2 linked regions of the Daphnia pulex genome follow. The protein of the gene in region 1 binds, or shares a complex with, the protein of each later gene. Links are inferred from orthologs where the notes say so. Each region holds a gene or a part of one and is shown on either strand. Other genes may lie near its edges.

Region 1 (4,520 bases):
TCTTGTCTACGCTGATTCTTTCATTTATACCATTAGGACAAATATTTGTCCCGCGCTGTCCGTTCATGTCAAATTGTCAACGTAAAAAAGATCAAATGAAACCCTCCCTCGGAGACCATAAGGAAAGCCCCTGCGAATCAAAACAACAAGCCATAGAAATATGGGTGGGTCCAGCCAGTTGTGCAATATTCATATATGATCGCTGCTGCCCACCAACCAACGAAAATGGTGGTGCAGTTCTTGTGCGGGATACATGTACTAGTGTGTGGTGGCATTGTGTTGGACTTATCCGTTTGGAAATCGATCCGTGCCGTTGTTTTCGTGACGACGGTGACAATCGAAATGATACAGCGGCCCAATCGTCAATCCTGCAGCTGACAGCCAACCCGGACAGACCCTTGTACACACAGGCGATATAGACTGTGGGCGACGGCGTGCTATATAGTCGGTCGACGAATGAGACGAGTCGGGACCAGAGTCTCTTTGGCCCCAATCGATCGATGTGCGCCATGCACATGGAACTGAGAAGAAAATCCATACACACACTACTATACACACACAGTCTCTATCCTCTTGATGGCCCTTGAGCTCCTAGTGCAGAGGCTCCTATATAGCTCCTATATAGTCTGATCCCTACCTCCTTCCGGATCCCGCTCGTCCTCATTCACGAGAGAGATTGCCACGTCACGCGTCACAGATTCCCCCAAACACACACAAATAATACGATATCCAAATATCAATAGAATGTTATTATTATTTATTTATTTATTTAGTTTTTCATCGCGTGTGACGTCGCTGTCATATTGAAAGCGCCTGCGCCAATCGCATCAAAATGTCGCCACATCTTTCACGACGCCGGCCAATGATAGAGGGGCGGCGACCAAATAGAACGACGACGTCAGTAGCAGTAGAAAATAAATCAATTCTCTAGCTCTTTTTTGTTTCGCTATAAAAGGCCTTCTCCACGTCTGTGTACAACATCGCTATTTCTATACCGTCGTCATATCTAATATCTACATATATATACTAAAGGAAGCCGAATGACCGATCGATATCGGCTTCTCTTTTGTTTAGGCAATTCGAAATGAGATACACATAGACATATGGAGATGTGTGTGTGTATAGAGAGTCTACAGCAGCACTTGAAAGTTAATAAGAAACTAGTTCACTTTGTTATTGCTACTTCTATTGTTCAACTTTTCCCTTGATACTTAATATATTCACGAAGAAATAAGAGCTAGCTCCATTTTCATCACGGCGCTTTGTTGACGTAACACATTTCAGGTGGCAGAGAAACGTCTGACGTCAAAGACTTTGATTCATTTTCTCCCCAAAAAAGAAAAATAAATAATCAGACTAATCAAACTTTGATGTTGGAAACTGCTCTTGTCGTCACAGCCATTGAGAAATAAAAAGGACCATGTGTTTTTCTTTATACAAGGACGAATGGCTACACTTTATCGATTTCTCCAACGGTATTGCATGAAAAGAGAATCTTCTTCTTTGGCCCGACTCTACAACTATTTCCTATATAGATGCAATGCAATTTAGGATATTACCGATCAAATTTGGCGCGTTTCCTGAAACGTTGCGCGGAACACTAGTCCGCGCCATCTGCACAAGGCCCCACAGAGTTTCTTTAATTTATTTTTTCCCAAAAGACATGGTCTCGAAGATGGCTACAAAAATGAAGCCGGTTGATAATTCAGTCAACGAGAGACGTTTGCGGCCAATTTACGGTAAATGATTGTACGGAAAATTCATCCCCCAAATATAAACCTCACCCGTGACCAAAAAATAAATATCATTATGTTTCGGGGGTTCACCCCACCACACACGATTTGCTCCGAGTTAATTTGTTCTCTTCACCTGTCTTGATTTCCATAATCATAACAGATTGGCTGGATAATGGAAACAACAAGAAGGCTCTGCAGGAGGCGGAAAAGGTCTTGAAGAAGCAGCCAAACCTACAATGTGCCAGGGTACGCTGCTTGTTGTAAACATTGGCTCTCAAGTGAGGAAAGTGTCAAAATGTGAGAGATATTTTGTTTGTTTAGGTTCTCAAGGCCCTGGCCATGGTGAGGCTAGGGAAATCAGAGGAGGCCCAGACCATCTTGCAGGAGGTGCAATTGGAGGAGCCTTGCGAAGATGCCACACTTCAAGCCATGGCCATTTGCTATCGGGAAACTCACAGACGTAAAAGCAAAGTTCTTACACTTGGATAACTTCTTTTTAAATAATGTGATCTTCTTTTACACAGCTGAACTGACGTGCCAGATTTATGAAGCGGCAGTCAGGAAAGACCCTTTGAACGAGGAATTTCTGTCCCATCTCTTCATGGGCTATGTTCGCATTGGTGACTACCGAAAGCAGCAGCTGACAGCCATGGCCCTCTTCAAAGTCAAGCCCAAAAACCCATACTATTTTTGGGCTGTCATGAGTATCCTTATGCAAGTAAAGTTCACCTTTAAGAAAAACTTGCCTTGGAATGTTGATGTTGATTTTTTTTCCCGCTTTCGTAGGCCTACGTCAACGACGATACCGTATGCCTTACGATAACGTTGCCGTTGGCCGAAAGAATGATCAAAAAGTTTGTGGAAGAGAAGAAGATTGAAGCAGAAGCTGAAGTGCAATTGTACTTGATGGTTCTGGAGAAACAGGTATATTCATCGAGAGTATACAATATTGTTTTTTTGTTATTGCATCCATAACCAAGGGCCAATATCTATCAACAGAAAAAATACCAGGAGGCCTTACAAGTGCTGCAAGGATCGCTATCGGAAAAGCTGGCGAATGGCATGATTGAAAACAAAAAGGGCGAATATCTTAGGCAAATGAAACGCTGGGATCAGATGTTGGATTACACCGAGGAACTTTTGCGTTCAAACCCGGACCAGTGGAGCTATTACAGCCTTTACATGGAAGCCTTGTTTGAGTTGACCAGCACTACCAACGCCGATGTGATTGGCCGAGCGAAAACCTTCCTCCTCTCTTTGATGGAGCAAGAAAGACTCAAGTCAGAAAACAAGTTGCGGGGCCCTTATTTGGCGATGCTCTTTTTCTGGCAGCAACTCCAACAACGAAACTTTGACGCTTCCACCGTTTTCGGTAATCTTAATTTGCCATCGCAAGTTGCCTCCTTGGTCCAATTGTAACTTTGCCGTTGTTGTTTAGGCAATTTCAGGGAATTTGCCCAAGAATACGTGGAAGTAATGGGAGACAAACCTTGCGCTTTCCAAGATCTTCGGCCGTTCGTCAGCAGTTTGCCGGCCGAACAGGTGAACGAATTTCTTGGTTGTGTTACCCAATCCGTTGGCTTGGATCAATCAAGTTCCCAATCTCCTACTACGGTAATATTTTATATCTAGGTCCAAGGCCTAGGAGCCAACTAAAAGTTTCTCTTTTTTCTTTTTAAGGTGAAGCAAATATGCCGGCACTTGTTGCACATCCAGTTGAATAGGTTCCTCGGTCAACATGATCTGTTGAATAAAGAAGAAAAAATTGAGCTCTCTCAGAAATTGTGGGGCCATTATTTGCAAACGAAATCTCTGAATGCTGGTCTGTTGGCAACGGATTTTAGGTATCCAGTCTATGCTGTTCTTTTTTAATTTATTCACAGATGACCAAGCAATGCTTTTCTTTTTGAATGGGATAGACCGAACGATGGCTATGCCTTGTTGGCTGCCCACCTTTTGTTAGATACGTGGAATAACGATCCCGTTGTTCTCGACAAGTGCCTGTTATTGCTGGAAACGGCCCTAGCCAACAGTCCAGCTAATTACCACCTAAAGTTGCTCGTCACCAGAGTATATACACTAGCTGGTAACAAATAAATTAGTAACAGTACAGATCAATTTAATAGTTATTTCGCCCCCCATTTTTCAATAGGTCACGGCCGTGCAGCCTTCCAGCGTTACGAATCGTTGGATGTTAAATACATTCAATTGGATTCGCTTGGCCATTTGCTCTGCCGTCCACTGATTTCGATGGGATTGCCGTACACAGCTTCGCCACTACTCTCCAACACGTTACGTTTTTACACCACGCACGCAAGAGAAGTACTCTATTCATTCGCAATGTTTCAGGAATCTTCTCATCTGATTTGGTTTTAATCATTTCTTCAACAGACATCCGAGTGTTTAATTTCGGCCTATAAATTTGGCTCTTTCGGGAAGATTCCCGAGTTTACTCAATTCTGCCAACGGCTGGATAGCTCTGCTCACTTTGCCTCGTCCACGACCGAGCGCATGCTGCTGGATCTGCTTCTGGACGGCAACTCCCATACGAAATTAGTTCAATCTGCGGCAGGTATGTTTGCCGATCCCGACAAAGATCAGCCAGATTGGAAAACGTGTGTCGATAATCGTGACTGCGGCGTCTTTGTATCTTGGGATCCACCTGCCAAGTAACGAAAACCAATCAATTCTATTTTTAAAAAAAGGATCACATTTATCTTACTCTGTTGTGTTAGGAATTCTCGCGAAGATATGGTCAAGACAACATTTAAAGATGAGGTGAAA
Region 2 (3,107 bases), on another chromosome or scaffold:
CGCATCGATGAAAATGTGGCGCGTGATTTGATTCGTGGTATCCGACCTCTCGAGCCAGTCAAACCAAAGTCGACCAAATTGGTGCAGTACATTCAAGTAGTGGGTGAGAATCACGTGAACGAAGAAAATGCCGTTCCAAAGAAAGTTGTTGTCCCTCCTACACCGCCCACAGTTTTCGACGAGGTAAGAAATTGAGTTCTCACCTTATTCAAGTAAAAATTATTAATAATTATTTTGTAGCCTGCTAGGAAGTCCTACTCGAAACGTGACTTGCGGATAGCCAAACGAAAAATACTCTTGGAAACCGAAGATTTCGATGATTTCGGGGATGTCGATGAAACCCCCAAAAAGTTGAAGAAGCGAACTGGACAAAAGAAGAACAAACGCGACAAGGAAGAGGAGCAATGGTGCAAAGTGATGAACTCGCACTTTGAAGATATCGAAAAGTTTAATTTGTCAAGTTAATTTAAAAAATGTCTTTCGTTTCCATAGAACGTTCCAAATATTTCCTTTTGTTTTATTTTTCTTTTTTTTTGCCCCTCAAGTAAAGCCATTTTTTCCTTTCCTATTCTAATAAACCAAGTTTTCAAATAATTGAAAGAATATGACCATGTATTTTTATTCAATATCTTCTGGTCTGACTGGATGAGTTAGAGGCACTACTGATAATTTATCCACATCTCTTGATAAAGATTTTCTCATGTCTAAGGTGGGAAAAAGAATTAAGTTTAAAATTCTGATTTAAAATAAAATGCAGGGCTCACCATAGGCATCTTCATCAGGTGAGCCAGAATAATATTCCAACACAGTTCTATATATGATGTAACCTAAATTTTTGTACATGTTGATGGCCACAGTGTTAGACACCCTGACAAACAGGTCAACAAAATAGGCTTGTTTCCTGAGTAAATGACATTTAGTTTCAATTCATCCTACAGTGATAGCATTCGGTAGTATCAGGCTTACTTTTCAGAAATTTCTTCTAATCCAAACATAAGTTTTGCAGCCAGCCCCAGCCTTCTGTAGTCTGGTGCTACACTCAAAGCGGTAACATGGCCGTGCCAGTTGGTGGCGTGCCCTTCTGCTTTACCCATAACTGTCCGGATGTAGAGAAAAGTCTTGATTAATTGAGAGGCTTTCACTTGGACGTGAATATCAATTTACTGTATCCCATGATTTCTCCACCAGGTGCTTCAGTCAGTTGAAAGTATTCCGGCCAATGAGCCATGTATTGCAGGTAGAAAGTGAGCCCGTACTACATGGAAAAGTTGTTGGAAAAAATATGCATTATTAGTCTCGTAGCTGTTGGCCATGATTTATGCAAGAGATATTACCGTTTCGGTCAGAGGATCTAGATTTCTAAACGGTGACCATAAAAATGAAAGCCGAATTAATAATTTAAAAAATAAGTTTGTTTACAAAACTTTTTGATAGGGACTTACACGAAATTAAAACGAAACATATCATCACAGGTGAACGGCCTTAGTGTCGTCATTTTTAAGTGAAGTGGGTTTTAAAGAAAAAAACCCCAAAGAACAATTATTTATATATACTTCTTTCGCCAGAAGGAGAATTCGCCCTAGAGGTCGTAAACCATATAATTGAGAGGAATTCGTTGCCTTATGGGAACAAGAAGAAGAGAGGGGAGTCTACTGTCATTAAGTAAAAGGCGCCGTCTGGACTGCTAAGAGTCGCTCGCCACTGAAAGCCATTGCTAATTGAAAGAAAATGGAAAGCAGAAAACTAAATTACGGAAAGATTCCACCACAGTAAAACTCGCGGAAAATAATTTGTGACAACACTTGATTATCCCAAAAATGAAATATCAACGAGAAAAGCTTGTCGAAATTCTTAATAAGTTTAAAAAATCATAAATTGTGAATTATTTGGGAGTTTTCTTCATGTTGAATTCTCGTTTCCACTTTCCATTTCCCTTGATTTAGTAAAAGATAGCCAATAGTGTAGACTCGCTTTGAACTGTAGTGGAGGGCAGTCGGCGAGCCTGTTTTAGACTTAATAGTTGAAACAAGATGGTGGCAGTGTTGCTTGTAAATTGTCGCAGAGTGAAATTGAATTACAACAAGTGAGAAATGTCGGACGATCAGAAATCTCGTTGAGTTGATTCTCCAAGAAAAGACGTTCAAGATTTGCATGTGCAATTTTCGCCAACCAAACGGGCCAATGTGTCAAAATCGATTGAAAAACACATTCAACTGACCAGCCATATAATCAAAAGAAGTGGTCAGAGGGAAACGTCCAGAGTCTCAGCAGCGAAGAAAAGTTCACGTCTATTTTTTGTTTTGGATAAGAAAATGGGAGCCAGTGCATCGGGTTTTCATGATGGAAAATGCGTTACATCTACTGGCACAACTCCTTGCCACCGATCTGCCAGGAATTCAGACTCATCCAAAACATTCTCATCAATGCACTCTGGCGATCAGCTTGTTGGAGTATCCGTCAGGTATTTTTCGATTTGTGATTGGTTTTTCTACTGGTTCCCAGTTAGTTTTAGTTGGTCGTTTTAATACAAATAACTACATTGTACAATTTTAATGCAGAGAAAAGAAGAAAAAGATGACTGGGTTCGCCACGTTACGTCGCAAATTGATACGTCGACGTAGGACATCGAAATCGTACGATCACGGCAAAGTGATACGTGAATTCGTGTCCGATTGGAGCCCATTGGAACTCAACACGCTGGTGGAAGAGTACGAAGCGACGGCAGCGCTCAAGGATTTGTCCGTCCAAGCCGATTTGGCCCGTCCACCGGCCTCAACGCACAAACAAGACTTGTCGGACTTGTTCGACTACAAATACGCCAGCGATGTGACGCTCATTTTCCAGGGCGCCTGTTTCCCAGTCCATCGAGCCATTCTCAGTTCACGATGTTCCTACTTCCGGGAGCTGCTGGCCAGCGGAGCGAGTGGCAACAACACGCGAACGGTTCACGGCGCTCAAGTTCACGTCGACTCTTTGCTGCAATCACGCGGGATCGACGTGCCAACCTTCGCCGCTTTACTCCGCTACCTCTACACGGGCGACTTTTGTCTACTGGACGGCGGTGGTGACACGACGTCTCAGACGGACCTGGACGTCCTAATCCGCCT

The links.
Region 2: the proteins of N-alpha-acetyltransferase 25, NatB auxiliary subunit-like (region 1) and N-alpha-acetyltransferase 20-like are in contact, whole or in part, in a cryo-EM structure (PDB 7STX), measured with the Homo sapiens proteins. The link is inferred for Daphnia pulex from reciprocal best matches to the Homo sapiens genes NAA25 and NAA20. Residues at the interface, in NP_079229.2 of Homo sapiens: Ser226, Glu227, Ile228, Asn259, Asp261, Asp262, Trp263, Gln264, Arg318, Arg321, Leu325, Lys362, Pro363, Cys364, Thr367, Asp368, Val371, Leu457, Thr459, Glu460, Leu461, Ser504, Ala506, Leu510, Leu532, Asp533, Lys535, His536, Ile537, Gln538; in NP_057184.1 of Homo sapiens: Thr2, Thr3, Leu4, Arg5, Thr8, Cys9, Asp10, Leu12, Phe13, Phe15, Asn16, Asn19, Leu20, Pro22, Leu23, Thr26, Tyr27, Gly28, Ile29, Pro30, Leu33, Gln34, Leu36, Ala37, His38, Pro40, Glu41, Pro49, Glu52, Met54.

The regions. Positions count from the first base shown.
Region 1 is NC_060028.1:8,233,528-8,238,047, reverse strand, and holds the start of N-alpha-acetyltransferase 25, NatB auxiliary subunit-like, read left to right. Parts: upstream 1-1,598; 5' UTR 1,599-1,663; coding exon 1,664-1,739; intron 1,740-1,896; coding exon 1,897-1,982; intron 1,983-2,057; coding exon 2,058-2,196; intron 2,197-2,260; coding exon 2,261-2,454; intron 2,455-2,522; coding exon 2,523-2,660; intron 2,661-2,735; coding exon 2,736-3,108; intron 3,109-3,174; coding exon 3,175-3,350; intron 3,351-3,416; coding exon 3,417-3,580; intron 3,581-3,655; coding exon 3,656-3,822; intron 3,823-3,888; coding exon 3,889-4,058; intron 4,059-4,127; coding exon 4,128-4,405; intron 4,406-4,471; coding exon 4,472-4,520. UniProt on the Homo sapiens protein: Non-catalytic subunit of the NatB complex which catalyzes acetylation of the N-terminal methionine residues of peptides beginning with Met-Asp, Met-Glu, Met-Asn and Met-Gln. May play a role in normal cell-cycle progression.
Region 2 is NC_060019.1:120,008-123,114, reverse strand, and holds N-alpha-acetyltransferase 20-like, read right to left. Parts: upstream 1,699-3,107; 5' UTR 1,496-1,698; coding exon 1,443-1,495; intron 1,360-1,442; coding exon 1,335-1,359; intron 1,256-1,334; coding exon 1,165-1,255; intron 1,097-1,164; coding exon 967-1,096; intron 902-966; coding exon 765-901; intron 705-764; coding exon 619-704; 3' UTR 595-618; downstream 1-594. Other genes in the region: nascent polypeptide-associated complex subunit alpha, muscle-specific form-like, read left to right, coding at 1-183, 241-465; BTB/POZ domain-containing protein 7-like, read left to right, coding at 2,313-2,461, 2,559-3,107. UniProt on the Homo sapiens protein: Catalytic subunit of the NatB complex which catalyzes acetylation of the N-terminal methionine residues of peptides beginning with Met-Asp, Met-Glu, Met-Asn and Met-Gln. Proteins with cell cycle functions are overrepresented in the pool of NatB substrates.